2 linked regions of the Elephas maximus indicus genome follow. The protein of the gene in region 2 interacts with the protein of the main gene of each other region in a pairwise test. Links are inferred from orthologs where the notes say so. Each region holds a gene or a part of one and is shown on either strand. Other genes may lie near its edges. The genes, in order: USF1 and FOSL1.

The links.
Region 1: the proteins of FOSL1 (region 2) and USF1 interact in binary tests that used the Homo sapiens proteins (3 or more experiments, as listed by UniProt). The link is inferred for Elephas maximus indicus from reciprocal best matches to the Homo sapiens genes FOSL1 and USF1.

What each region holds. Positions count from the first base shown.
Region 1 is NC_064821.1:199,852,685-199,867,930, forward strand, and holds USF1 (upstream stimulatory factor 1), read right to left. Parts: upstream 6,771-15,246; 5' UTR 6,643-6,770; intron 4,774-6,642; 5' UTR 4,689-4,773; coding exon 4,681-4,688; intron 4,285-4,680; coding exon 4,235-4,284; intron 4,090-4,234; exon of another isoform or gene 4,088-4,089; coding exon 3,972-4,087; intron 3,645-3,971; coding exon 3,543-3,644; intron 3,302-3,542; coding exon 3,106-3,301; intron 2,866-3,105; coding exon 2,778-2,865; intron 2,646-2,777; coding exon 2,587-2,645; intron 2,428-2,586; coding exon 2,333-2,427; intron 2,118-2,332; coding exon 1,989-2,117; intron 1,802-1,988; coding exon 1,712-1,801; 3' UTR 1,078-1,711; downstream 1-1,077. Other genes in the region: TSTD1 (thiosulfate:glutathione sulfurtransferase), read right to left, coding at 382-504, 674-746; ARHGAP30 (rho GTPase-activating protein 30), read right to left, coding at 8,675-10,291, 10,383-10,648, 11,943-12,344, 13,137-13,214, 13,292-13,395, 13,476-13,647, 14,156-14,283, 14,881-14,988 and 1 more.
Region 2 is NC_064825.1:129,038,596-129,053,847, reverse strand, and holds the start of FOSL1 (fos-related antigen 1), read left to right. Parts: upstream 1-8,898; 5' UTR 8,899-9,142; coding exon 9,143-9,244; intron 9,245-11,450; coding exon 11,451-11,648; intron 11,649-13,909; coding exon 13,910-14,017; intron 14,018-14,420; coding exon 14,421-14,840; 3' UTR 14,841-15,252.

The sequences.
Region 1 (15,246 bases), on a different chromosome or scaffold from region 2:
AAAACCCACCAACACATACTGGCCCCCAACCTCAAGGACAAGAAACAGCTACTTGCACGGGCACTACTCAGCCAAACATTTGAAAGTGAGCCACTTCGTGAGGAGGAACAGGCAGATTCCAGCACACAGCCTCAGGGAGGTCCAACTGATCTGCCACTCTCCTCACCGCCTGTTACCCCTCAAACTGGATGGGCCAGTTCCGCTGCCAGGATCCGCCTCTAATCAGCCCTACTCTAGGGAGGCTTAGGGGTGGCTTAAGGGAACTCTGGACCCCTGTAACCAGTGCCTTCCCCGCGCCACCCTACCTGCGGCCCCATTAGCTAATACCTTCCTTGACAAGTCTTTACTCCACCACCAGGGCGTCCCCTCTCAATCCCATACCCGGGATGTTAAGCGCCCCTGGGATGGTCCCAGCTGCAGCCTCCTCCCGAGATCGCACGTCGATGAGGCGGACCCGGCCCGAGGATAGGAGCAAACGGAGTTCAGGTAGCGAAACCGTGGGCACTGAAGAAGGGAGCACGAAAGTCTTGAGGGGACCCGGTCAAGGCACGGCGCCGCAGAGCCTCCTCGCCAGCAGCGCCCTGTCCTGGTGGAGTGGGGTGCATGCAGATGTCTCAGCAACACCACTTCTCCCGCCCCTGCACCTCCATCCAAGGGGCTCCGCGCAGGTTACCTCCAGCCATGGGGCGCGCAGTGATCAATCGCAGGAATGCGGCCCCAACCCGCCAGGTCAGCTCCCGCAGCATCTCCCCCGCTCCTCCTGGAGCCGCCAAGACCGGAACCGGAAGCAATTGCACCGCCTCATGCACCGCCCCCGAGGCACCTGTCAGTGCTGCTGCTGACACCGCCCCCCAGAGAAATCCTTGCGATTGCCCAGCATGGGCTGGAAATTCCACACTGATCTGGGCCAGGTACCAGGGTTCAGGGTAATAAGCACACCAGCCCCACCCCACCCTAAACCTAGCCCAGCCCTTAGTGGTCAAAGGGCAGCATGCTCCTTCCCTTCAGCCCTGGGGCCCACAAAAGCAGTGAAAACGAGAGACAACTGTGGCTCTGAACAATTTTATGTTTAAAAAAAAAAAAAGGAAAAGAAAAAAAAACTTCCCCCCAAAAGGGGAAGGCCCCAGGTGGGCCCCTGCCTGTTGTTCTCCCTGGCTCCAGAGACATCTGCATAGGCCTTAGCTGCTTGCTGGCCAGGCTCCTCTTCCCTGGGCAGCAGCCATTGCTAAGCATCCCTTCTCCCACTTCCTGCTAAAGCCTGTTCTCCAGACAAACCAGGTCCACATCTGAACCTCAGCTCCAAGGAAAGGAAGAATAGTGGAAGCGTTGGAGTCCTGGAGCAAGCCAGAGCATCACCAGTCCGCAGACCCTCTGCTGGGCACTCTAAGCAAGCGCAGGACAAGCTCTCCAGTTAAGTGTGTCCAGTATCCAGCATCGAGACAGCACATGCATTGTGCAAGAAGAGCACACGGGCCCAGGGGCTGCTTGTTGGGGGTGGGCGAGGCTGTTAGTGCTCGTCCACGTGGCTGTTTCACACCACTGCAGGCTGCTATATCACAGGGCCTCAGGTCAAAGACACACTTTCTGAACTCCCCCGAGTCCCATGCCAGAAGGGCAGTGAAGGAAAGGGGCACGGGTTAGCCTGGTGCTCCTGGGCTGTCTGCAGTTCTGAAAAAGGGGCTGTAGGGCCCAAAGCCCCTGGATCCCCAGGTTAGTTGCTGTCATTCTTGATGACGACCTCTACTCCATGGTGTCGCAACTGAGCTCGTAGCAGCAGATTCTTGTTTTTAAGGTCTTCCACCTGACACAGGAAGGAGGCAGTAAGAGAATTCATACAAAAGTTGGCACGACCAAGCCCTTGAACTTAAACACCCACTGGTGGGGGGAAAGAGGTGAGGTCCTCTCAGTGGAGAACCAAGTAGGGAGCCCTAAACCGGGTCAGTGGCTACAGGGTAGAGGAAGGGCTGTGTTGAAGGCTGGGATCTGACCTGCTGTCGAAGCACATCATTGTCCAGCTGCAGCTGGTCAAGCCCCTGCAGTTCTTCGGACAACCGGTGGTTACTCTGCCGAAGCTCCTGAATATAATCACAGGCTTTGGATAGAATTCCACCTTTACTCTGCAAGAAAATGAAAGCAAAAGGAGGACCAAGATTTAAGCTACTTTCCAAAAGCACTTGCAGACTTTAGACCTCATTTCCCCCAAGGATGGTGATGTAAAATATCCCAGGGATAGAGGAACCTCAGAGAGAAGGAAAAAAGACCACTGACACTGTGCCCCACTTTCTAGCACTTCTGGAAGCAGTATCAGGAGACATTACTCGGGCATACTGACCTGGCCAGACTTGGTACTCTCCATAGAGCAGTCGGGGATGATCTTGGACAGCTGCACAATCCAGTTGTTGATCTTGTCTCGGCGGCGGCGCTCCACTGTGGGGCAAGGGGAAAGACAAAGTGACTCAGCAAGAACTTGCCACAAGTCCCAAGGTAAAAGTTCCCCACTCAACCCAGCCCCCCCTGCCCCCAGACATCACTCCCATCCCCAATCCCACCAATCAGCTCCTAGCTTCACGCCCTCATCACATCTACCTTCATTATGCTGAGCCCTGCGTTTCTCATCTCGAGTCGTCCGGGGAGCTTCTGATTTCCTGACAACAGAGCCCAGGGTGGCCAGAGTGAGGACAGGACAAAAAATAAGGTGGAAGTCTGGGGTAAGGGATTTGGCAGGGATCAAAACCCCTCATCCTCATAGTCACTGAGAAGAAACAAAGGTCACTCACGGGGAATAAGGGTGGGTCCTGGGGGCAATGGAGCGCTGGCTTCCTCCCTGCAACACTTCTTGTGGTGACATCATCACAAAGAACTGACCTGTGAAGATGCAGGGTAGGTTCTGTCAGGACATAGGACTGGGAACCTCATCAAGCTCTGAGGCCAATGCCTTGGGACCTTCCTCTAAAAATAACATGCTTCCTCCTGCTGGAAGGTCAGCCCCAGACTCACTGCCTGCCCAGGACTTAGTGATCACCTGAGAGGTCATGCGTGATGGGCCACTGTCACGTCTCACAACCTATCCTAGCCCCTCCAGCCTGCATCATCATGATATCTCACCAGTGCCAGGAGGGGTCGCCTGCCCCAGCAGTGCCTCTGAGCCCTGGGTAGTGACAACAGCAGCTGTACTTCCCGATGTGGCGCCCCCTGCCCCATCTCCCACTGCAGTGCTGGGGAAATAAGTATAGTGTGTCTCAGCAGCTGTCCCCTCCGCGTCAACTGCATCATCACTGGTGAATGCACCCTGGATCACCGCCTGGGAAGGGGAGCGAGAGAGCAGAGTCCAGTGAGTCAGACGCTTCTTCCTGCCATACCATCCTGCAGCTTCTATCCCTGGGAGGAAGAGGGGGAACAATCCAGAAAGGGAGAGCCTAGGGAAGCTCTAGGGACAAGAGATAAGGCAGCTCTAGGTGCCTCACTATCCCTAGCGTCGTCACTGGTTCCCTTCGTCTTACTGCTTAGAGCTCTATCCCCCTCCCCAGCCCAAACCCCTGTACCTGGGTCATGGATTGGGTGGCAGGGTAACCACTGATGGCTCCAGTGCCTTCAGTCTGGCCATCCAGCTGCCCCTCAGACACCTGGATCACCCTGTACATCACCTACAAGTGGGGAAGGAAGGCGAAGGAGAAGAACAAAGAAGAAGAGAGTAAGTACTAGGGGTCCCAGCGCCCTTCACAAAGCTTCCCTTAGGGCCCTGAAACAAGAATTCTTCAAAGACACAGATTGAGCCATTCCTCCTCCTTTCCCTTACAGAAGTTTCAGCATAGCCCCTGGCCCACATTAATTTCTACTCTAAACCTCTCCATCCCCCAAACAGTCCACATCTTCACCTCATTCTCCAAGCCAAGTCTCCCAAGACATGTTCAATTACCTCCCTCAATCCCAACCCCAGGTCACACCTGCAGCAACCTGGCCCCCTCCCTTACCTGGCCCCCATTCTCAGTTCGGAAGACGTACTTGACGTTGGGGTCAGGGAAGGTGGCAGCTGACTGGATGCTGGCAATAGCCACGCTGGTTGGGTCCTCCCCAGTTGCCACTGCACCTGAATTAAAAAAGCAAAGGAAGGGCCTGTGAGCTGCTGCCTTTCTCCCTCTGTTCCACTGGTACGTCATTCATAGGAGGAGGGTGCACAGGAGATAGGCCGTCGGAGAGACCAGGAAGGGCTCTTGGTTCTATTTCTGTCACTCACCTTCCTGAATCTGCACTGTCCCCTCTTCCGTTTCAGCTGTCTTCTGCTGCCTATTTGTGAGGAAGGGACAAAAGGAAGAATAAGGAAAGAAATGAATGAGAAGCTCACTGACCCAGTAACATATGGCTCCCGAACTCAGTGGCATTCGCACCAGATGCGAGATTAGACTGGAATAACAACAGCTAATATTGACTGAGTGTTTACTATGGGCACAGGCACTGAGCTAGGCACTGAACATGGACTATCTTATCTAATACTAAGAACAGCCCTATAAGTATCACCACTTCCATTTTACAGATGGAGAAACCAAGTCACACAGCTAATAAGCGATGGCACTGGGACTTGAATCCAGATCTGCCTGACTCCAGAGCCAGTGCTCTTATCCAGTCTGCCATTCTCCTAGGCCACCCATCTTCTGTCCCAGATCCTACCTCTTCTTCACTTACCCCTTCATCTCTCTGTGAGGGGGAACATCCGAGGAACTGGTCCTTCTCTGGAGGTCTTTGTATGTCTTGCCTCACAGCCCTGTGTGTTAAATCCTGGTAGAAATCAGGGAGTTTGCAGTGAGTCTAGGAAACTCAACAGCCTCCTGGTTCTAGAACTAGGCTCCATAAAGATACAGCCAGGAACATAACCCAATCGTCTGCAGGGGACAGTAAGCCTCCCCCATTCTTGATGCTGAGGACTGGGCTACAATGGTTGAAAAAGCCACCGTACAAATAGTGTTCCTCACCCCTCCACGACAACTCCAACTCCTGGTGGAGAGGGGATTACTGGACTGGAAGACTGAGAAACATCCTGTACCTGGATGGGTTATTACTAAAGCTATTATGACCTGCCATGACCGCAGCTTCATAGGGATTAGACCCTGTTAGACTATCACTATCAAAAAACACAGGGCTATGGACACTGATGCTTCTTTCAACTTCTTAGATGTATACTTTACACCAAGAGATCTCTATTCTCAACTCAATGGCATGAAGCCCATTGCCATTGGAAAACCATCCCTAACCACAAAGACCAGACTTGGCCCTTAAGGCCCATTCTATTGACAGAGCTCTTGTTCTGGGGTGTTCAGATACATGTCTTCTGTTAGAGACCCTAAAGCACAAATGCAGCATCTTCAAGACCTCTCTATTTTATTCTCCAAGGCTTCCTGTGAAACAACACATTTGCTAACATGTTGCCATGACAACTCCAAATTTCAACTGAGGCTCAGCAAGAAGGAAAAAAGCTGGAAGCTCAAGGTTCTGAAGGAGAAGAAACAATGGGGGAGGAATCCATTCATAAGGTGCCATCCTTAGGACCCTGACACCCAGACAGAGGGCAGGAAAAACAACGGGCTGAGCAGACCAATGCCTCCAGAAAAAAACAGCCGCACAGCGCAAGGCAAAAAGATAATCCGAACAGGAAACAAACAAGATTTTTGTAAACTCTCTACCTTTAAGGTTTCCCCAAATCTAAGGAAAATCTTCAGCGGTTACACTTTGGAAAGCCAGTGTCTAAGGAAAGTGTCAATAGGTCTTTGAAAAAAAGGAACTGAAAGTGAAAGCGACAGAGGAAGTAATACTGCAAGGAGATCCCAGTCCCTAAGTGGAAATAACACTAGTACCTAGGGACCACCTACCTCTGTCCTCAAACCTGAGGAGGAGGTGCCCCTCCCGAGGCTTGCTGCGCTGACTGCAGGAGGCGGCAATGAAAGAGAGGGCAGGGCACCAGGAAAGGAGGCAACTCTATCATCCACAGCTGTCAGCTAGGGGCAGCCTCTGAGGGCACCAGCAACGGGGTCAGGCTGCTGATTCAAATCTCAGTGGGACATCAGGAAGCATTTCCTGAGCACTAGGCATACGCGACGCGGCAAAGGAAAAGGATGTTGTGGCGTGCACGCTCAGACAAGGAGCGACCAGCAAGATCCCTCGCTAAGTCCGGACACAAAGGGAAAAAAGGCAAGTCGTCAAAGAAGTCAGGCGCAGAGACCTTGCCTGGGAATGCGGCATCTTCCCGGAGGCCCACCAGCCAGGAGGCGCTTTACAGAGCTGAGCGCACGACAAGCGCGAGCCCCGGGGCCCGTGCCGCCAGCCCGCGCCCCGGCTGCTCCGCAGAGGAGGCAGGGAAGGGCGCCAGGGGCTCGGCAGGCCCCGCGGTCCCCGCCCGGACTCGGCCGCTCGGCGCCCCCCGCTACGGCCCGCGGCCGCGCATCGCAGGACGGGGCGCGCGCCGTTCGGGGGCGGAGAGCGAGCTCGGCCCACAAAGGGGGGTAGGAGATAAAGAGCCAGGCGAGCCCCCTCCCCCAAAACAAAGGCTTCCTACCCAAGAGTTCCCTAACCCAGAAAACTAAAACCAAACCAGAGCTGCCCTGCCTTGCCCGTCCGCCCAGTGTCCCGACTTCTGTCTGGTCCTGCACTCACCGGGCAAGGCCGCCTCAGGCGCTGCTTTTCCCCGACAGTGTTTTCCCCCCTCCGGACCCGGGTATCTCCATGGGCAGCCGCTCATGCGCACTCCCAGCCTGCAGCCATGTTGATGAGGGGCGGAAGTGTCTCTCTCGACCCGCCCAGCCGACTCAGCCCCTTGATCCGCCCCACTTCCGTTCGTTCCCCCTGGGTGAGGGCTGAGGGATGCGGGGGTGTTTGGAGTGTCTCTGGACCGAGAAGGTGCCATTTCCTGGGATCTTGTCGGAATGACACTGAAGTCGTAACCGTTTTCAGCAAGAATGGGAGAAAGACGACTAATTTGTGCTACCATCTTTGTGCTGGGCGGTGCATTTTTTAGTCTCAGGAAAAGGTAGTGAGGGAGCCAATTTAGGTCAGAGAGGGAAGTCCGGCCGAGACGCCATCTTTAACAAGGCTCATTTGGGAGGCCATCTTGGATCAGGGCATCTGTTTGAAGTGTTTCTTAACGGGAAGATTAAGACAGCTAACTAGGCATACTTCTTTGTATTAGCGTCAGCCGTCCTTTACCTAAAGACCCAAGGCTTCAGTTTCTTTGAAAGGAATTTTTATTCCCATTCCAACTAGCCAGGACCTAACCCTTAATTGATTTGGGACCAGACAAACCCAGATCTCATACCCACTTTTGCCACTTCTTACCTCTGAGATCTTGGGCAACTTAATTAAGCTTTAGTTACCTCATCTGTAAAGAGTAGACACCAGTGTCAACCTTCTGAACTGTTATGTGGCTTAAATAAAGTCAAGGGCATAGATGCTATGCACGTAGAACACCTAGCTCAGTTACTGGCACAGAATGAGCATTATGTAAATATAATTTCTCTTCCCCTTTTCCTGACCACCGTGAACTCAGCTCTAGTTTCTAGCCACAGGTCTCCATGACAACATCTGAGGAAGAACAAACAGCAAAGAAAAAAAGACATTTGCCCAAACATGTGAAGAGATGATACCACTCACGGCTTTAGTAAGAATAATGAGACTTCACACTATTTACATGTAAAAATACAACTTTTATTCTGAGACAGCCCCCACTTACTAGAGTGGGATCTGTGGTTCAGCTGGTCTGGAAAAGCAGCCCCAGGACCTGAGTGGCCCCATTCCCCTTCCCTAAGGTAACAAAACCAAACCCACTGCCATCGAGTTAATTCCAATTCACAGTAACCCTAGACGACAGAGTAGAACTGCCCCATAGAGTTTCCAAGGCTGTAAATCTTAACCGAAGCAGAGGAAGTTATCCCAAAGGGAAAAGGAGAGGCCAGAGAGATCTATACAGGACCCCTTCTTCTTTAAGCTGACTGGAGACAGCAGGTGGGTGAGCTGGAAAGATGGTCAGTCCTCCCAACAAACACTGAAGCCTTCAAAGAGCTTCCTGAATAAGTTACTCCTAATCTGAAGCTCAGACAGGAAGTATTCAGGGGTCCAGGAACAAAACAGGGGTGGGCAACACAAAATGTTTGTGTGTGATAGGCTCTGACCTGGCCCTGTCCTCCCCACCTCACCTTAAGCTTTCATGAAGGTTCACAGCCTCAGAGGAGAGTAGGAACTTGGCTGGAATTCCCCCTCCATTCTTCACTTTGAAAAACCTCTAAGTTTTCTGCCCACATCTGTTCCTTTTGGCGCAGTGATTGAGCGTTCAGCTGCTAACCAAAAGGTTGGCAGTTCAAATCCACCAGCCACTCCTTGAAAACGCTATGGGGCAGTTCTACTCTGTCCTATAGGGTCGCTATGAGTCGGAATCGACTCAATGGCACCGGCTATGTTCCCTTTAGCCAATAACCCCACTCCCTAGGAACCAGATCTTGGTAACTTTCTTAGGAATCTCCTAAGGGATAAGTGCTTTCTGTCTTAGACAAGCTCAGGTAAACGAACTAACCTGTGGCCTCCCACAGTCAAAAAGAGAAGCAAGAGGCCAAAGCCTGTAGAGTTAGGCTCTACAGCTCGTCAGGGACCCTGGAGATTCAAGACAGCTTACTGGTCCCCTTTGCCCAGGTCCTAATCACAGTTCCTCACCTTTCCCAAGGTTACCCTGTGTTTCAAATGCGTACGATCGGCGCTGGGGGGGCTTAAGGGGGTCAGGGGGCTGGAGTTCTCTGGGGGGCAGACTAAGCCGACTCCGGGATTCAGATCCTTCTGTGCCTTCAGGTGGGTGCTCCAGGCAGCTAAGGGGCCGGTGAGAATAGGCAGGAAGCATGCTACCGTAGGTGGTTCTGGGGATGAGGCTGTAGTCCCCACCTCCAGTACAGGTCTGGGTCCGCCGAACTCCCTGAGCCTCAGTCCTCTGGCGGTCCCGGGCCAAAGCCACAGCAGCATCAAAGGAAAGACTGCCCCCATTCCTCCAGGAGGAGCGGGAGGCTCGGGACCCCCAAGCCCTTTCCCCAGGAGTCCCATCAAGCCGGCCAGGCCTCGGACATGGGTTTGCAGGTGCCACATGGATCTTGCCACACAGTGCACTGGGCATCTTGGCAAACTGTGGTTTGGGGGGCACCACAGGCACAGAGCGGACCTGTTGGACCTGAACCAGGGTGGAAGCCAGGCGCATGCCCACACCACCAGCTAAGCCAGGGGGACAGGGGCACAGATCACAGCCCTCTGGACTAAGCTGCCCCTCAGGCTCCATCTCCTCTGGCAGAGGTGGCTGTGGGGCTGCCTGTTCCTCCTCAAAGGACTGGGCATTGCCCCCTTTGGCACTATCAATGCTCAGGGACTCTCCACCTGACCCTTCAGGGAGAGAGCCTTCTTCAAAATGGTCACCTCCAGCCCTCTGGTCTCCCTCAGCCCCTCCATCCCCTCTCTCCCATTCCTTGCTGACCTCCGCTGTTCCTCCAGCTGCTGCTTCTAGGATTCTGATGTCTTCACCATCTCCTTGGTCTTCTCTTGCCTCTTGGCCCCCATCCCCACTCTGTCCTTTGATATCATCTTCCCTGCCTCCCTCAGCCTCTTGTTTATGTACAACTTCCCAGCTCTCCTCAGCAACTTGGTGTTCCTGGGCCCCATACTCTGGGTCTTTTCCAGGTTCTACCTGGGCCTTGTCTCCTCCTTCAGCCTCTTCTTCTCTCTCAGTCTCTCTTTCCTTCTCGTCTTTACTCTGCTCTTCTCCTGATTCGTCCACACCCTTAGCCTCCTCCATATTCTCAGCTTCATTCTGGCTTTTGGACTTGGTCTCTGTCTCTTCCCCACTCCCTTCTCTCAAACTAGCCATCATATCCTGGTCTCCCTCAGTCTCCACTCCTTCCTCACCTGACTCTCCAACCTCTACTTTGGTCTCTGGACTCCCCTCAGCCTCCCTCATGTCGCATCTATTTCCAGGCTCAGACTCCTTGTTCTCCCCAACTTCCAAGCATGCTTGCTCTCCTGAAGCCTGCCCTGAAGCCTGTCTTCTACACCCTGCTGCCTCTGCCTCCAGACTCCCTAGACCTTCCCAGGTCGGTGGTTTGGGCTCCAGAAGGGGACTTAGGTCGTCATAGGCACTCAGGAAGACTTCCTCCCCACTTTCCTCCTCTGCTTCAGGCCTGGGGCCAGCAAAGTCCAGGGAACAGCAGCTGGGAGCTAGGACAAACTGCGCCTCATCCAGAGAGAGGTCATCCAAGGGTGGCTCCACAGAGAACTCCTCCACCTGTAGGCATAGCATTGTGGCTCAGGACCAGGTGGCCCTGCTCACCCTGAGACCCCATACCACCCCCAAACCCAGCACAGCTCCTTCTTACCTGAGGCTCAACTCCCAGGAGCTCCTCTAGGTAGCCCATCCCAGGGTCGTCCTCCCCAGGGGAGAAAGCTGCTCCTGCTGCTCCTGCCTTGGCCACATCCCCATCCTCCACCCCCACCCACTCAGGCTCTGAGTCGCTTGAGTCCTCTAGGAAGGAGAAGGAATCTTGCACCTCCTGGGACAAGGAGTCCTCCAGAGCAGGGGCCGTGTCCACTGGGCCTGAGTCAGCCAAGGAATCAGGAGCTGCACTTGCCTCCAACTTCTTATCTGTTGGGGGAGAGGTAGTCCCAGAATTCCAAAGGTCCAGGCCAGCCCTGACCCTTTCCAATGTGGGTCTTCCTGGCATTGATACAGTATGGGCCCAGAACTCCCAGCATAGATACCCGATATGGTTGATCTTCTCAGACTGATATCCCTAACTATTGGCTTATCACTACTTTTATTAAACTCCTCTAAAGTGCATTTTCACTGCAAAACAACCCTATTATGTAGAGTATTACCCCTATTTTATGTATAAGAAAAGTGATGCTGAGAGATATGAAACAATTTATCCAAGGTCACACATCCAGTAAGTGGCAAAGCCAAAGTTTGAACCCAAGTCTGTAGCCCATGCTCTTACCCACTGTACTATGCTGCCTTAGCACTTCTCATCAGTGACACTTTAGGGACTGGAGTTGGAGCAAAGATCCGATCCCAGGTTTGCCAGTTCCTACCTATATTAATAACACGTTGCTTAACCTAAGTCTCAGGTTCCCCCACTGTAACAAACATAACACCTATGCTATCAGGAGAAGCCCTGGTGGTGTACTGGTTAAGAGCTCAGCTGCTAACCAAAACGTCAGCGGTCGGAATCCACCAGGTGCTACTAGGAAACCCTATGGGGCAGTTCTGCTCTGTCCTATAGAGTCACTAGGAGTCGGAATTGACTTGACATCAACAGGTTTGGGTTTTTTAATGCTATAAAGTTATGGGAAACCCTGGCGGTATAGTGGTTAAGAGTTCGGCTACTAACCAAAAGTCTGCAGTTCAGATCTACCAGCTGCTCCTTAGAAACCATATGGGGCAGTTCTACTCGGTCTTATAGGGTCACCATGAGTTGGAATCAACTTGACCGCAACGGGTTTGGTTTGATTTTGGTATAAGGTTATGAGAAAATTAAATGAACTAATGCCTGCAAAGTGCTTAACACAGCACTTGACACATAATAAGCCTTCAATAAATATTAGGTATTATTCGTAATGTTATTATTATTTCTGCCATCTATTATATATTCCCACACTGGTACTTAGTAATCCCTTCTCTATGTGTCTGACTCGGACCTCTATTCTTGGATATATCAGTGATCTGCAGGCTGCCAGGGATTCTCTCTCCATGGATTTTGCAGAATTCAATACTATTACTAGATTCTCCCAACCCCAAACACAGGGAGGCAGCTGAAGACAGCCACCCCAAAGCACAGGAGCTGAGGACTCTGCCCTTCTCAGGGAAGATCACAGCATGAGAGCTTCAGCCTAGAGTTCTAGTCTCCTTTCCCAGTCCTGGGTAATCCCAGGGTCCTCACCTGGAGGGCCAGGGCCAGGGCCAGGGCCAGGGCTGGGACCAGAGGCAGGACTTGGCCGGGGCTGTAGGGCCGGGCACTCAAGGCCACGGGTGAGCCTGGCCAACGAGACATTGGAGATGATGTTTGGGGGCATGCTGAGGATAGAGGTGATATGTAGCGGGAGGTTGACGTTGTAGGGGTCTGAGATGTGGACGCCAGCACAGCGCTCTGAACGGCTGGTGCCACCAGCCCGAACTGCTGACCGCCCAGCTCGTGGTGTGCCTGGCTCGGAGTTTGTGCCAGCCGGTGCCTCTGCCTCAGGCTCATGCTCGCCTTCTGCTGCCTCCACAGAATTGTTCTCCAAGCTCTCAGGAAGCAGCGGGCCTGGCCGGGGACTGCTGGGCCCCATCAGCCCCTCTGGCTCTGTGGAGGGGAAAAAGGACCAGGTAGGCAATGGCCTCAGCTGCAAGGGGTCACCTAAGGAAGACTCCAAAAAATGTCCCCTGTTGTACCAGGTCAGCTTCCTCTGCCACTACCGCAAACCCTCCACCCAACCAGCAGAACGCAATTTTCTCTGCCTGCACATATCTAGAAAGCCCCCTTCCCCTTCTTGCACGCACAGTCACTGGCCACCACTGCCACACACACACACTGCCCCTTCATCCACTGCTTACTGTCCCCATTACATCTATGTGCAAACACTCATATGAACACACACATAGGCCATAAACTCACCACTGTAACCCCAGCATCCAGCACCAACCCAACCGACTGACTTGACCCATTGCCGTCAAGTCAGTTCCAACTCATAGCGACCCTATAGTGCAGAGTAAAACTGCCCCATAGGGTTACCAAGGAGCACCTGGTGGATTCGAACTGCTGTCCTTTTGGTTAGCAGCTATAGCACTTAACCACTATGCCACCAGGGTTTCCCCACATCCAGCACGTACCAACTATTGTGCATCCAGCACAGTAGTTGGTATATAAACTATTGCACACTCGTTAAATATTTTTTAAATCATTGAGCACAAGTGGCCACACGCACAGACACACACACACACACACAGGGAAATGCAGGCACTGTGGTCTCAGCCATAATACCTTATTTTCTCGCAAATACATTCCCAGGCATGCATACACACAGATGCACACAGACCCATGCTGTTGATCACACAACACACGTGTGCATGCACACAGGTGCACACCTCTACTCACCATCACTGACCCCAGCTGCAGCGCTCAGTGAGTCCATGCTCTTGGCTGGGCGCAGTGTCCCTTTATCAGACTTGTCCTCTGCAAGACAGAGATGTGCATAGAGCCAGAGCCTCACACACATCAGCTGAGCTCTCCCCACAAATCCCTAGGCTTACCCCTGTCTTCGCCCCCTCGTAGAAGTTTACGCTTTGTCTCATGGCCAGAGCGACCCAGATTGAAGATGGATCTCCATTTCCTGACCTTCAAAGACCCCTTCCTCCTGCAAGGAATGGGGAAATAATTGGGGAGTGGGGGCTGGTGGTCAGTGCAGGGGAGGAGGGCCCAGGAAAGAGGCCTTACTTGTGCTCAGCAATCTCAATGATAGTGTGGTAGGGCCGGATCTGTGGGGGTCCATCGCCAGCCTGCAGAATACTAGGCAAGTGGTAGGGCAGGGACCGGGGCATAAAGTCCTCAGTACTGTTTGACGCCCGGGCCCCTGGAAGTGATCGCCATCCACTTTCCATTTCACCACCTGGGGGGAAAAGAAAATTGGCTGGCCGGGAAGAGACCGGAGAGGGACCGCAGGCACCCAGCCCTTCATTGCCTCCCCCCACTCTCCAGCTGCCAGGATCGCTGGGTATATACTCAGAACCACCCCCAGAGATAGGCCCTACAAGGGGGGACCTCAAGAGTTGGCCTTTACAGACAGAGAGTGCCAGGAGATAGATACCAGGACATTGGTCTTGTGGGCTGGGGATGAGAATGAGCAGTCACTAGCCTTAGGGACCAGGATGGTGAATGAGAACTCAGGCTACACCCTGAACTGACAGTGGAATAGCCCCGCTCAAGTCTTTCACTGTGCCGTTATCTCTCCAGGGTCCTGTCCATGTGATAATAAGCATCATCCCTCTACACCTAGACTCAGTTTTCTCATCTACAAAAATGGAAAGACTGGACTAGTTGATCTTTGAGGCCCTCTCTAACTCTGACATGACCCCCAGACAGAAAGCAGCAATGTGGGGGATGGGGAGGACACTGACCAGAAAGGGCAGCACCCCCGAAGAGCTGGTCCACGTGCGTAAGGATGAACTCGACAACAATGGACTGCACGCGCACCTCCATGAAGGCTGCTGTCCCATTGAAGCCCGAGGCCTCTATGTCCTTAGACCTGTGGAGATGTGGAGTTACTTTTCTCCTCGCACCCTCCACCTTCCCATCCTAATGCTCCCTGAAAATACCTTTATCCTGGATGCCCTTAACGCCATCTCCACCTTTTAATTCATGCACATGATTCAAGTTTCAATGCCACTTCTTCCAGGAAGCCTTCTAGGACACCCTCCTCAGGATCGACCTCTGCTTCCTTTGCACTCCCAAGGTGTCTTGTGTATAATGAACTACAGGACTTCTCATAGCTTGCCTTTACCTTGGTGGGTGGCATGCAGGTCAGTCCTCCAATGGACTGCAGACATTTGCTCAACAAACATTTAGCCACCACCTAACATGTTCCAGTCCCTAAGCTCAACAATAAAGTCGTGGAAGACACAAAGGCCCCAAACTTAGGGGCTTTAGTTGAGCTCAGAGAGGGGCCTCAGTGTGGCTGAGAGCAGGCCCCATCCCACTTAAAGCAGTACTAAGCCTTTCTGTTTCTCAGCGGCTCCCTGGGACTCCACTGCCCTCTCCGCTCCCTCTACACCCCATCCTGGAGCAGCCTCCCACAGCTAGTCTCTCCCAGGATCCCCACACACATGCTCATTCGCACTCCCACCTGAGCAGATTGGGGGCCCACACGATGGCCAGGTTGCGGGCGTGCATGTTGGTCTGGGAGCTGAAGGAGGCCATATGCACCAAGTGCCGCATAAGGAACTCCAGGGTCCTGCAGGAAGGAGGCATCATTTAACAAGGACCTATCCACACTGGAGCCTGGGAGCTGGAGGGAGGAGGGACAAGTCAAGGCCCCAGGTGGAAAGAGAGCCCGGGCTGTGTGCAGGGAGTCAGGGCCCTTGGGTGGGAGCGGCAGAGCCCCACATACTTATAGTTTGGGACAGGGAGCTCTCGAAGCACCTCTACGATCTTGACCAAGCGCTCAGGCTCCATCTGCACTCCCACGGCCTCCTGATTGGGGAGAAGGGTA
Region 2 (15,252 bases):
CAGAGCAGGCTACATTCTGGGTGAAAAGAGACACAAGAAACTGGTTACAATGCCCGTCTGGAAGAAGAGGGAGGAGAAACAGGGGTAGGAGGGAAGCTTCTCATGGTACACCCTTTTGCAGATTTTGGATTTTGAGGCATGGGAATGTACTACCTAGTGGAAAAAGGAATGCAATTAGATTTTTTAAAATAAGGCAACATTAAATAAATATACAAATCATCAGGTGGCATCCATGGCACAACAAATGGTCTCTATTCACCTGAAGCAACAGAGGAAGGAGAGTCAGGAACAGGAGGAGGATACACAGCTAGTGAACAACTACCTCCTCTGCAGTGAGACCAGAAGAGCCGGACGGTGCCCAGCTACCGCTACTGAACATTTTGATCAAAGATTCCATAGAAGAATCCTGGTCAAAAGGGAGAAAATGCAAAAGAGAATTTTAAATTTTCAAGGATTCTAAACTTTCTGGAGCTATGGAGGTTGGATGAACCCCTGAAACTATCGTCCTGAAATAATCTTTAAACTTTAAACCAAAATTATCCCCGAAGTCATCTTAAAACTGAGCAATAGTTTCACTTAACTAGTAAAAAAGATCTGCCTTGAACATTATGCTTTTTTAAGAGCTACCTTTATGGGATCAAATTGACAATAGCACCTGGAAAGATTAGACAGGAACCGTAGGGGCAATGAGTTTATGTTAATGAGGGAGGAACAACTCAGAAAAGGAGGGTGAGAACGGTTGCGCACCTCGAAGAGTGTCATCGATGATGCTAAATTGTACATGTAGAAATTGTTGAATTGGTGTATGTTTTGCTGTGTATATTCTCAGCAATAACAACAAAATAAAATTTAGATAAAAATATAAAACATGTTTTAATGAGAAATTACATATGTGTGTTTTTAAAGTGACACTTTAAAGACTGAGGGGCATCTGACCCAACCCATGGTATTTTCAATTTCCTCATATGCATGAGAAAGCTGGACAATGAATAAGGAAGACTGAAGAATTGATGCCTTTGAATTGTGGTGTTGGTGAAGAGTATTGAATATACCACGGACTGCCAAAAGAACAAACAAATTTGTCTTGGAAGAAGGACAGCCAGAATGCTCCTTAGAAGCAAGGATGGCGGGACTACATCTGACAAACTTTGGACATGTTATCAGGAGGGATCAGTCCCTGGAGAAGGACATCATGCTTGGTAAAGTAGAGGATCAGTGAAAAAGAGGAAGACCCTCAATGAGATGGATTGACCCAGTGGCTGCAATAATGGGATCGAGCATAACAAGGATTGTGTGGATGGTGCAATACCCAGCAGTGTTGTACACAGGGTCGCTCTGAGCCGGAACTGATTCAATAATACCTAAAAACAACGTCACATACATATATGTGTGTGTGTATGTATGTGTATTATCTATTTCTTTAAAAGAATTTTAAATTATTTGCATTTTTGGATATACGTGTGTGCATGTATCCTAAAATAGCACAGCCCAAAAAATGCAAAGATTTAAAAATCATTCTGAGGCCTACACGTATGTACACATTAAAAACCTATACATAGTAAAAGGTTCTTATATATTCATTCAAAGAATTGGCCGGATTTGATTTATACCACGTGCTTTTGCATTATAGCACTACAAGAATTTCTCTGAAATGAGAAAGCAAAGAAAGGAGAAAGAAGAGAAGAAAAAACAAAATGGTACCAAAACATCCCAGGTTAGTCTTTTCTCATTTTACTTTTTTTTTTTAATCTCCCTCCCATTGCTTTTGTCTGAATGTTTCTCCCACCTCTTATTAAGACAAAGATGACAAGAGGAAGAAGGAACAGTCTTTTCAACAAATGATGCCAGGACAACTGGATCAAAAAGAATGGCAAAAGAATAAAGTTCGACCTTTACTTTACACCATATATAAAGATTAACTCAAAATGAATCAAAGACCTAAATATAAGAGCTAAAACAACAAAACTCCTAGAACACATAGGCATTGATCTTCATGATCTTAGATTAGGCAATGGTTTCTTAGTTATGATATATAAATAACAAGCAAACAAAGAAAAATAGATGAACTGAACTGCATCAAAACTAAAAGCTTTTGTGCTTCAAAGGACACCCTCAAGAAAGTGACGACAGCTCACAGAATAAGAAAAATCTGCAAATCATATATCTGGTAAGAGTCTAGTATCCAAAACATATAGAGAACTTTTACAACTCAACAATTAAAAAGACAACCCAACTTTAAAAAAGGCAAAGGATATGAATAAATAGTTCTCCAACAAAGAAATACAAATGGCCAATAAGCACGTGAAAAGATGTTCAACATCATTAGCCATCAGGGAAATGCAAATCAAAATCACAATGAGATACCACTTCACCCCCACTAAGATGGCTATAATCAAAAAGGACAATAATAAGTTTTAGCAAGGATGTGGAGAAATTGGAACCTTACACAATGCTGATGGGAATATAAAATGGCACAGCCTCTTTGGGACTTCTTCAAAAACTTAAACACAGAGTTACCATATGACCCAGCAATTCTACTCCTAGGTTTATACCCAAGAAAAATAAAAGCATATGTCCACACACACACACAAAAAAAAAATCATTCTGAGCAGAGAACAGTAATATATAGCATAGTACTAGGAAACTGTTTTGCGTGAGGGATTTAATGTAGGGAATTTTTTTTTTTTTTAGGGGCTCATGGAAGTAGTACTGGAAACGGTTAACACACTCTGCTAACTGAAAAGTTGGCACCTTGGAAGAAAGGCCTGGTGATCTACATCCAAAAGATGTCAGGCATTGAAAACTCTAGGGAGCTCGGTTCTACTAGGAAACACATGGGGTTACCATGAGTTGGAATAAACTCTATGGCAACTGGTTTACTGGTTAGGGCTCATGGAAGGCCTTACTGAAGATGGTGACCAGACATGAAGGGTAAAACAGCTGGCCAGGTGAGGGGGTTAGGGGAGGGTACCCCGGGCAAAGGGTACAGACTGTGCAAAGGCTGAGAGGCTGGGTCCAGCATTGAAGCTAGGCAGAGGGAGGAGCCTGGGCAGGCAGCCAAGGTCCACCAAACCTGGGAGGGCCTAGAATGCCATGTCACAGATTCTGGGTGCTTTCAAGAAGCCCGGGCTCTGAAGACTGACTGCCTAGGTTCAAATCCTGGCTCCACCGCTTCATCGTGTGCTGCTTTTAGCTAGTCACTTAATTTCCCTGTGCCTCCATTTCCTTTTCTGTAAAATGGGTATAGCATGATTATCTATTTCCAAGCATTGTTGTGAGGATTAAATAAATACTTTGAATAGTGTATGTGTGAGCCACTGGTGTTATCCTCGTAGCCCTCCAAGTTCCCCCCACCCCATCAACATGCAACCTATAAGAACTCAGGGGGCATCAAGCATCCCTGCCCTACCTCTTCCCAGGCCTCAGCAATTCTGAAGGGGCCAGAACTCAGAAAGGTCCAAGTCAGAGAGAGACAGGGGTCAGAATTTTTAAAGATTCCTTTGTGAACATTCTCATGATTAAAAAAATACAACTCCTTCAAGAATGAAGAACACCAAAGACATAAGGTAATTACGAGGCCAAGAGACAGAAAGGGCCACATAAATCAGAGGCTACATCAGCCTGCGACCAGAACTAGATGGTGCCCAGCTACAACCGATGACTGCCCTGATAGGGCACACAACAGAGAACCCCTGATGGAGCAGGAGAACAGTGGGATGCAGACCTTAAATTCTCATAAAAAGACCAGACTTAATGGTCTAACTGAGACTGGAAGGACTCCGGAGGTCATGGTCCCCAGACCTTCTGTTAGGCCAAGACTGGAACCATTCCCAAAGCCAACTCTTCAGACAGGGATTGGACTAGACTATAAGATAGAAAATGATACTGATGAGGAGTGAGCTTCTTGGCTCAAGTAGACACATGAGACTATGTGGGCAGCTCCTGTCTGGAGGGGAGATGAGAAGGCAGAGGGGGACAGAAGCTGGCTGAATGGACACATCGAATATTGAGTGGAGAGAAGGAGTGTGCTGTCTCATTAGGGGGAGTGCAACTAGGAGTATATAGCAAGATGTGTATAAGTTTTTGTATGAGAGACTAACTTGACTTGTAAACTTTCACTTAAAGCACAATAAAAAAAACAACAACAACTTCTTCAGAATGCTGGGTGGAAAATGGAGAGGAGGGAGCTGAGGTGGAGGCTGGGAGACCATCCAGGAGAGAGAGGATGGAGCCAGGATCAAGGAGAATAAATGTTTGTCACAGTGAACTGAAATGTCAACACCAGATGTGGAGCAGTGGGAAACCCTTACCCATTGCTGGTGGACTATAAAGCAGCACAGCTGCTTAGGCCAACAGTTAAGTCAAATCAACTAAAGCCAAACATACACCTACCCCTGTGACCCAGCAATTCCGCCCCTGGGCATCTATCCGAGAGAAATGAGTGCGAATAGCCACCAATGGACACATCAAGAAAGTTCACAGCAGCCTTATTCGCAATAGTCCCAAACCAGAAGGGTCCCAAAGGCATCAGCAGAAGAATGGAAAGACTGTGGGATATTCACGCAATGGAATTCTACCCAGCAATAGAAAAGACCAGACTACTAGTTCACCCAATAACGTGGGTGAACCCTGCAGACATGTTGAGTGAAGGAAGCCAGATGCAAAAAAGCACACGCTCAGTGTTCCGTTTATATGAAGTTCAAGAGTAGGTAAAACTAATCTATGATAATAGAAGTCACAATAGTGGTTAACTGGAGGTGGGGGTAATGACAGGAGTGGGCATTAAAGAGAGTTTCCAAGCTGCTGAAAACGTCCTTGATCTTGATCTTGTGGCTACCCAGGTATACATGTAAAAAGTCATTGAGCGGAATACCGTGATGATTGAACTTTACTCTATGTATATTTCAATTACAAAAGTGAATGGAAACTAAAAAAATAAACATCACCTCCGGCGGCACTGATTGAGCACCTACTGTGTGCCAGGCATACTCCTCCACCACCCCTTTTCATCTCCCCACAACCCTAAGAGGTGAGGCTCTCTGGGGCTCAGAGTAGGTAAGAGGTTGGGTCAGGCTCACACGGCGGCCAAAGGCCAGGGCCAGGGTCTCTCAGGCCTCCCCCACCCCAGACTCCCAGCAGCCCCTGTGGCTCCTGGGGTTCTCTCCTGGCCTCCCTGGGTGGCAGCTAGTGAGGTCAGGCCCCAGGAACGTTTCTGTAGCCACGAGGCAGGAGTTGGTGACTGAGGAGCTTGGAATGTGCTGCTTCTGTAAGGACCTTCTTGTGGCTCGGCCGACGGTTAGAGCAGGAAGGGACTTTCAGAGTCATGTAGTCACACACACACCAAAAAATAAAAAGTCCCACCACCATCGAGTCCAACTCATAGCAACCCTGCAGGACAGAGGAGAACTGCCCCACAGGGCTTCCAAGGCTGTCATCTTTAGGAAAGTACTCTCACATCTTTCTCCTGAGGTGCAGCTGGTAGGTTTGAACTGCTGACCTTTCGGTTAGCAGCTGAGCACTTAGCCACTGTGCTACCAGGTTTCCTTTACACACACGCGTGCGCACACACACATACACCCCCTATTTAAATAAAGCCCAAGAAACTGAAAACCAGAAGGACCAAAAGACTTGTCCCAAGTCAGGAGTGGGGGGCTGAGCCCCCATTCCTTCAGCTGCACAGGCTGCTTGGGGAGGGGTCAGGGATGGTCTTTGGAGGCATGAGGGTGAATGCAGTCCAGGCTGACCTGTGTCAGGCCTTGAATGTGCCACCACCTGGCCACCTGTGTCACCCCTGACCTGACTTAGTTGGGTCTGGCCAAGGAAGTCAGCTATTCGTGTGTGTATGTGTGTGTCTCAACCCGGAGGCTTTTATTAACATGTGTATTTATTTTCGATACTATTTATCAAAGGAGCCCTGTTGGCTTGGCACAATGGCTGGCAGTTCGAAGGCACCAGTGGCTCCACAGGAGAGAGACCGGGGCATCTGCTTCCACAAATATTTACAGTCAAGAAAACCCTATGGGGCAGTTCTACTCTGTCACATGGGGTCGCTATGAGTTAGAATTGACTCAATGGCAGCCGACAACAACTATCACGTTTTTACTATGTGTCCGGCTCTGTATTAAACACGTGATATTATTTTACTTCTACCCCCCAATCGCCTCATGTACATGTGAAAGCTGGATGATAAGTAAGGAAGACCGAAGAATTGACACCTTTGAACGGTGGTGTTGGTGAAGAATATTGAATATACCATGGACTGCCCAAAGAATGAACCAATCTGTCTTGGAAGAAGTACAACCAGAATGCTCCTTAGAAGCAAGGATGGCCAGACCAGGTCTTACATACTTTGGTCATGTTGTCAGGAGGGATCAGTCCCTAGAGAAGGACATTGTGCTTGGTAAAGGAGAGGGTCAGCGAAAAAGAGGAAGATCCTCAACGAGATGGATTGACACAGTGGCTGCAACAATGGGCTCAAGTATAACAACGATTGTGAGGATGGTACAGGACCAAGCAGTGTTCTGTTCTGTTGTACATGGGGTGGCTATGAGTTAGAACCGACTGGACAGCACCCAACAATGACAATAACAGCCCCCAACAACCCTGAGATGTAACTATAATGATATCTCCATTTTCCAGAGGAAAAGGAGGCTCTGAGAGATTGTGTATCTCATCTGGGTCACATGGCTGGTGAGGAACCCAGCAGAGTCCAACCCAGGACCCAGAACTGTCTGACTCCAGCGTGCACGTTCTTCCCATGGGTCACACTGTTGTTGCAAAATCTCTCTCTCTCTCTCTCACACACACATACACCCCTATGTTTCTCATTCTGGTAAACTGCTGTGGTTTCTTTTCCTTTCAGAGGAAGACAAGCCTTAAATAAAACAAGGTCAAAGGGAGAGGCACCAGCCTGGCAGCCACCTCCTGAAAACACAGCACTTTACAGGTTACAAAGCACTTTCTCATCAATGATCTCATTTGATCCTCACAGCAGCCCCACGAGGTCACTGGGAGGTCCAATCATTGCCACTGGGACTGAGACTTGGAGGGGAGCAGGGCGGATTATCCAATAAACAAGGTAAGCACAGGCTTTCTTGTGCTTACTTACTGATCATAGTGAACAACTGTTCGCATGTGAAATTGCTCACTACAGACTAGCAAGTAAGCACAAGTAAGCCCGTGCTTGCCTTGCTTACTTGGCCATCTGCCCCTGTCAGGGATTGTAAATTTGAAGAGTCTTTGATTCTGTAGGAAGATGCTGTGGGGTTGGGAGAGAGACATGCCAGCCATACCTAGAAGCAGAAACTTTGATGTGGTGAAAAAAAGTGCAATTGTTCACTACAGACTAGAGAGTAAGGGCAAATAAACCTGTGCCTGCTTTGCTTATTGAATAATTCACCCCTGGAAGCTAGGGGACACAACAGGAAATGACAGCTCTGTGACTGGAACCCCAGAGTCAGGCTGGCCTCCTGGCTCCAGCCCTGAGTGAGCCCACAGACCCCTTACCTTTGTGCCCATGACAGGCTGCCCAGGGCCCTGCCCCCTGGAGCTCTACTGGAGCTGATCAGATGGAGGTTCTGGTGGAAAAGCTGGAGAGCCCAGCATTCTTTCTACAGCTGTGTGACGTTAGCAGCTCCTACTCTTTCTGGGCTTCAGTTTCCTCATCTGTAAAATAGGGGGGGGCACAGAAGCTTTTGGACGGTCCTCTCAGCACTGACGTTCTGCATGTGTGGAATAGCGTCTGTGACGCAGTGAGGGCTTTGAAAAATCTTGGCTGAGCCTGGCCTTAGAGCTCCTACAGCCCTAGTTTGGGAATCTGGTCCAGCCCTTCACCTAGTGACCCTGGACAATCATTTCAGCCTCTCTCAGCCTCAGCTTCCCCATCCGTAAAATGGGGATGATGGTGGTACCTACTTCCCAGGATTGTTGGTCTTTGGTTGCTGACTTTTGATTCCGGCCTCAGGTTCATACAGACCTTTGACATCATCTCCAAACAATGCTGGTGACCACACAGTCCACAAGTAGCATGACAGTATTTAAAGAAGATGGTGTTCACCAGACAGCTAGCCACTGGAGTCCCATCGCAGAATCCCACTCCATAACAAACCAACTCACTGCCATAGGGTTGATTCTGACTCACAGCGACTCATGTGTTACAGTGTAGAATTGCTCCTAGGGTTTTCTTGGCTGTAATCTTTATGAAAGCAGATTTCCAGGCCTTTCTTCGTCCGCGCCACTGAGCAGGTTTGAACCGCTAACCTTTAGATTAGTAATCGATCGCAAAACGTTTGTGCCACGCAGGGACCTTAAAACGTGTTCGAGCTCCTGCAATTTCCAGTCAGCAGCACGACGATATTGCATTGTATCTGTGGACTGTTCAAAGCATTACTCTGTTCTTTTAAGCACTTAAAATAGATCACCATGTTTATAACTCTGATGTGTCATTCATTCATTTTTCAGTATATCCCGAGCCGTACAGCAATGCCAGTGGCCGGGCCCCCTGCCACAACTGTGAAACCGTGCGTGGCACTTAGCATGGTTTCCGGCATGAAACAAAACACCCAGTGATAATGATAAAATAAATAATGTATCACATTCATAATCCATTTTACAGCTTCCAAACTGCTTTCCCATTCATCATTCCACCTCCCACGCGCGGACAGGTAGCTCCGGAACGACGTCGTCCCATTTCACCGCTGCAGAGGCCGAGGCCGCGTGCGGACCAGGGCGCGCGGGCGGCGGACCGAGCGGCGGGGCGGGGCGGGGCGGGGCGGCCGCAGGTGCGTCAGGCCGGGGGAACCCTGGGCTCTACCTGGGCGCGCCGAGGAAATTGCACCATGTATGGGCAGCTGCGTCAGAGGGCGGAGCCCTGCACAGAGCCCCGCCGGCGGTCGCGGGGGCCCGCGAGTCCGCCCCTTCTCCGAGCAGAGGGGGCACCGGGCCGCAGGAGGCGTCGCAAAGCTCGCGCGGACGGCACGGGCGGTGCGTCGGGAGAGGGAGCCCAGGGGACCCGCCGCCGAGCACCCCCGCGCAGTCCGAGTGGTTCAGCCCGCCAGCGTTCATTCACAAAAAGCGAAGAGTCGGCGAGGAGACGGTGAGTCAGGACCGAGCCGCCGCGGGCCCGCAAGCAGCAGCCCAGGGCATGTTCCGAGACTTCGAGGAGCCCGGACCGAGCACCGGGCCGGGCGGCGCGTACGGCCCTCCCGCGCCCAATCCCGCCGCGGCGCAGGCGGCCGCCCAGCAGGTGAGACGGCTCGGACAGCGCCTGGGACGCCGGGGTCCGCTCCGGGACGAGCTGGGGACCGGAGAAGGACCAGAGCGGGGGCGGGGGACCGATGAGGGGCCAGGGCCAGGGGCCGGGGGCCGGCTAGGGCCGGGGGCCGGGCCGAGGACCCTGCCCATTACCTGCCGTCCGGGAGCCACGTTCCCTCCACGGCCCAGGGGGATGCGCGGGACGACCTTCGGGCGCCGCTCCTCGCCCGCCCCCTTCCCCGCGCTGCCTGCGGTCGGTCCCTCCGTCTGTTTCCTTCTTTCCTTCCTCCTGCCCACCGCTAGTTCTCCGACGGGGATCAGGGACATCTGGGTTAGTCGTAGCCCCACCAGGATCAGCGAGGCTCTCCATCTCGGGCTGGATGCCCGGGCTCCGGGTTTGGGCTAAGGCCGAGACGTGCGGACACTGGAGGGAGGCGGTCACCATCGGCTGACCAGCCTCTACAAAATAGGAACTCGGCGCTGCCTGTGACTGTGTGTCTGTCCGTTGGTCTGTCCCTCCCTCCCCCCACTCTTCACTGAGGCTTCACGCTTTTCGGTGGCTGTCTGGCAGTGGAGCCTGGTGGTTTCCGGAGACTGGCTCTCGACCCCTTTCCCAGTTGGGGCCACTAAACCCTACGAGGCCTCGGGACGTGTGCGGCGTCACGCAACGGGCAACGCCAACGCCCCGGATCCTCGGCCCGCACCGGCGCCCGCTGCCGGCTGGGGGAATCTGGGAGGCTGCAGGTGCCCATTTCCTGTCAAAGGGCCGCGAGCACGTGTCACCAGGGGAGAGAATGAGCGGGCGTCCGTTCCGCCGAGTCACGGCGGCCGAGTCACGGCGGCTGAGTCACCCGCGGCGCCCCTCCCTTCCTGGCCCCGAGCGCCCTGGCCCGGACAACCTCGGGAGCGGGAGATGCCGCCGCTGGCAGTGCCTCGGGCCCGGAACTGGGGTCACCGGGTCACTGGGACAGCAGCCTTAGCCGGGGCCACTGCTGTCGAAACTTGCCTGGGCTTGTGAAGAGCTTCTCAGACGACAGGTCGCCCACACCCAGGGCCCAGCTCCAGGCCTCTAACCCTGTTCTGCTCCCAGAACAGTGTGCCCTCATCCCAACCCATTGCTCAGATTCCTGGCAGAAATCATCTCAGATAACCTTTGGCGTGTCATTTACAGTGTGCCAGGGAAGTGCTAGGCGCTTTCCACTTCATTGACTATTCCACCGAATCTAAGAAACGATGATTTTAAAACCTACCATGAGTTTGTGCCAGTAAAGGAAAAAAATGTCAATTAAACTATGATTTCAGAGCTATTAAAAGGTACTTCTGAGAATCAGTGAAATGCTGTAATTCTCACCTATTAAACCAAAAAACACAAAACAAAACAAAACAAAAACCCAAACCTGTTGCAGTGGAGTCCATTCTGACTCCTAGCAATACTATAGGACAGAGTAGAACTGCCCAATAGGGTTTCCAAGGAATGGCTTGGTGGATTTGAACTGCCAACCTTTTGCTTAGCTGCCAAACAACCACTGCACCAGCAGGGCTCCCCTCACCTATTACAATGTTACAAATGAGGAACTGAGGCACAATGAAGGTAAACAGCTTAACAGCTTGCCCAAAGTCACACAATCAGAAAGTGGCTGAGCCAGGTTTAGAACTGGGATTGCCTGAACCCAGCGCAGTGACTCCTGCCCACCACAGTCCCCTGCGCATTAGGCACTTGCCACTTACCAGGCTCTGTCACACGTTCTCTCACCTGATTCTCACAGTTACCCTCTTTGTGCAGATGGGACTCAGGCAGGGTGCAGGGGTAAGGGCAAGACTCTGGAGCCTGGCGAGCTGGGGTCCCACTTACAGACTGTGTTTTCAGGCAATTCTTCCCCGGACTGAAAATGAAGTTACTACTAGAGCAGTCCTCATAGGGCAGTTGTGCAGAGTATATGAGTCAGTCTCTGTAAAGTGGTCAGGACAGCGCTTAGCAGGGCAAACAGGCACAGAAAAGTTATGTGACTTGTGCAAAGTCAAACAGCTGAGCAGGGATTTGCCACCAAGTCCGTCTGTCTGACTGCCAAGCTGCGCTCTTTCTGATCTCCCAGAACTGGCAGCTGCTTTGGGAGTGGATGGCAGTGTACCCTCTGTCTACTAGATGCCCCTCAATCCACACAGAACTCATCCTCGGCCATCCACTTCTTGTCCCCCAGAAATTCCACCTTGTGCCAAGCCTCAACGCTGTGAGTGGCAGCCAGGAGCTGCAGTGGATGGTACAGCCTCACTTCCTGGGGCCCAGCAGCTATCCCAGGCCTCTGGGCTACCCCCAGTTCAACCCGCCGCAGCCCCGACCAGGTGTCATCCGGGCCCTAGGGCCACCTCCAGGAGTGCGGCGCCGGCCCTGTGACCAGGTAAGGAGCAGACGCCTGGCCCTGGTTCTGATGCCCATAGGGCTGCTAGGGGGCTGAGAACAAGCTCCTGCCAGAAAAGGAGAGCACAAGCCTAGAAGGCAGGGTCACTGGCAACTATTGCCCAAGACAGAAAGTGACTGGAACCCTTGGAGAGGCCCAGAAGGCAAGGAGGTCCCTTCTAGATCAGGGAAAGCTTCCTGGAGGAGGGGGCATACTAGCCTCCAAGGATGTTAAATCCTAGGGTAGGATTTGCAAAGGCAGAGATGAAGAAAAGATGAAGTTCTGGGTGGAGGGAGTGGCAGGCACAAGGAATGGAGGTAGAGGTGAGGATGTGAACATGGAAAGGTGAGAGTATGGCAGAGGGCCTCCCCCCACTGGCATGTGCAGGGGAGTGGGCTGACGCTGTCTGTGGCACTGCACAGCTGGGGAGAGAAAAGGAAAGAGTGGATCCCCTTCAGCTACTCTCTAGGTCTCAGTTTCCCTATCTCATTTAATTCTCACAAGAACTCTCTGGGGAATGTACTCTGATTCTCCCCATTTTACAGAGGAGAAAACAAATGCCCAGAGGAGTAAAGTTACTTGCCCAAGACCACACAAGGAGTGAGTAATGAGCCTGGGTCTGTCCAACCCTAAAGTCAGCTCCTAACCATCCAGGCACACTGTTTCACCAGAAGCTGCCAGGAGGCTCCAAGCAGCATGATCCGGGGTCTCTTGCCTTCCCAGTCAGGGCTCCTGCCCTCACCACTTCTCAAATAAAGTCCTTGCCAAAATAAATAAACCAGAGATAGGGGGGCTTTAAGGGATAATAAATAAGAGAGCCTCTTGCCTCCCTAGCCAAGGATACTACCCTTACACTGCTCAAATAAAATCTTTGCCAAAATAAATAAATGAAAGATAAGGGGGGCTTAAGGGATAATAAGTAAGATAGGGGGCTTTCCTCCTTCCTCTCCCTGGAGCGTTCTGATCTGTGAGGCAACAGTGGGGTGAGGTCCGCATGTTAAAAAGCTTGCTCCAACAGCAGAGTAGAGAATAGGGAGGATGGGATCCTGGGAAAGATGTGAGATGGGCCAGGGGTGGTTTTCCCAGAAGTAGAACGGATGCAGGGGACTTTAGCGAGAGAGCCCCAGACACAGGCAAGCCAGGGGTAACCGCCTTCTGGACTCCTGCCCTGTTGTAAGGGTGGCACTTTGATTCTGGGCACTCCCAGGTTGGGGCTGTGAGTGGTTCTTTTGGGGGGAGGTGGTCTCCATAAGCTGGCCAGTGTCAATAGAGGTACCCACTGCTGTCGAGTTGATTCCGACTCATAGAGACTCTATAGGACAGAGTAGAACTGCACCGTAGAGTTTCCAAGGAGCACCTGGTAGATTCAAACTGCTGACCTCTTGGTTAGCAGCTGTAGCACTCAACCACTATGCCACCAGGGTTTCAATAGAGGTAGTGGACTCTAATTCCTGATCTGGGACCTTACCCAGGGATTCATCCCCCCTGAGCTTCAGTTCCTCACATGGAAAGTGGTTAAGAATCGTATGAAGCACTTAGCTGACACATAATTAGTTGTTTTTGTTGTGTGCCCTCCAGTTGATTTCGACTCATAGCATTTCTATATGACAGGGTAGAACCGCCCCTTAGGGTTTCCTAGGCTGTAAATCTTTAGAAGAGCAAATTGCCTGGTCTTTTCTCCTGTGGAGCGGCTGGGTGGGTTAGAACCACCGACCTTTGGGTTAACAGCAGAGCTCTTTAACCACTGTGCCACCAGGGCTCCTTTAGCACATAGTAGGCTCCTAGTAAATTACGACTTATTCCGGAGCACTCAGTAGCCCCTCCTAGTTTTCACAGTCCCAGGGGAAGAGGCCCCTTGGTCTTCAAGAGATGGAAAGAATGAGGGTTCTGGTCAAAGAGGGTTGGGGGCCCTGCTCCAGGTCTCAGAGGAGCAAAGGCCACTTCTGGCTGGGGGATGAGAGAAGGCTTCCCAGAGGCGAGGGCATTTTAGCTGAGTCCCGGACGACGAGGAGGTTTAAGGTTTGTGGAAGGGGAGGGCACTTGGTGTGAGGAACCGTAGGAGGCAGAGGCTGAGTGCCAGGAGGAAATCTGACCGATCCAGGCTGCCCAGACCGTGAGTGCGGGAAGTCGGCTGCGGTGCTGTGGTCTCTATACCGTGTCCTCCGCCAGGGGTCTACCCCTGGGCCACCATGGGGGGCGGGCGCTGGGCAGCCTGCCGCAGTGGTGCCTCACCTTCCACCCTTCGACCCTCTGTTCCCCAGATCAGTCCCGAGGAGGAGGAGCGCCGCCGAGTGAGACGCGAGCGGAACAAGTTAGCCGCTGCCAAGTGCCGGAACAGGAGGAAGGAACTGACCGACTTCCTGCAGGCTGTGAGCCCCGGCCCCCCAAGCCTTAGGGGGACCCCGTGGGAACCAGGGGCGCCTAACTGCCTCCCTAGCTAAGGGGAACCCTTCTGGAAAAAGGACGAAGACAAAGCGATTAAAAATTAGTTGCAGCGCATCTCACTCTGTAACCATGCAAATCTACTCCCCTTGACTCTTTCCTAAAGCGCATAATCAGGGCTGGGCTCAGAGCAGAGCTCTTGCGGACTACAGCTTTCTAGGACGCCCCCAAGCCTGATGGGAGTCGTGCCCATTCTCTCCCAGGGGCTCACGGGAGTTGTAGTCCAGCCTTACACAGGGGCTCCCAACCACCCCCACCCATCCTCCCAGGCTGCAGGATATTCAGCCCTCACCTTCCTCATTCCTCCCCTGACCTTTTGACCTTTTACAGGAGACCGACAAACTGGAGGATGAGAAGTCTGGGTTGCAGCGAGAGATTGAGGAGCTGCAGAAGCAGAAGGAGCGCCTGGAGCTGGTGCTGGAAGCCCACCGCCCCATCTGCAAAATCCCAGAAGGGGCTGAGGAGAGCAGCACAGAGGACACAAGCGGCACAGGCGGTACCAGCAGCCCGCCTGCCCCCTCCCGCTCTGTGCCTTGTATCTCCCTTTCCCCGGGGCCGGTGCTTGAACCCGAGGCGCTGCACACGCCCACGCTCATGACCACGCCCTCCCTGACCCCATTCACCCCGAGCCTGGTCTTCACCTACCCCAGCACCCCAGAGCCCTGCGCCTCGGCCCATCGCAGGAGTAGCAGCAGCAGCGGGGACCCGTCCTCTGACCCTCTCGGCTCCCCCACCCTCCTTGCTTTGTGAGGTGCTCCAGCCCCTTCCCTGCAGGTGTCACTCTAGCCAACACCTCTACCCTCATTGGTCCAGCTGGTCTGGACTACAGTCCATCCCAAACCCAGCACGTTCTTCTCCATCCCTCCAGATGAGACTGAGCATATTTTGCTTCAGGATGGAACCAGCTTGGGGCCACCAACGCTGCTCACTGTTTCTCTCGAGCTGGCCCCTCTAGCACAATTTGCACTACATGAGAGACAAATTATTTCCTGCTTGTGCCAGAGAACTCCCAGCAGCCCAAAAGGACTTTGTAGAGCCTTCGAGGTCCTCTGGAGTCCTAACCTCTTCCAGACCCACCCCCGTAGCCTACATCACCCTCTTCCTGTCATCCACCCAGCCCTACTCCCTGACAGAAGGTGCCGCCCTACCAGCCTAGAACACT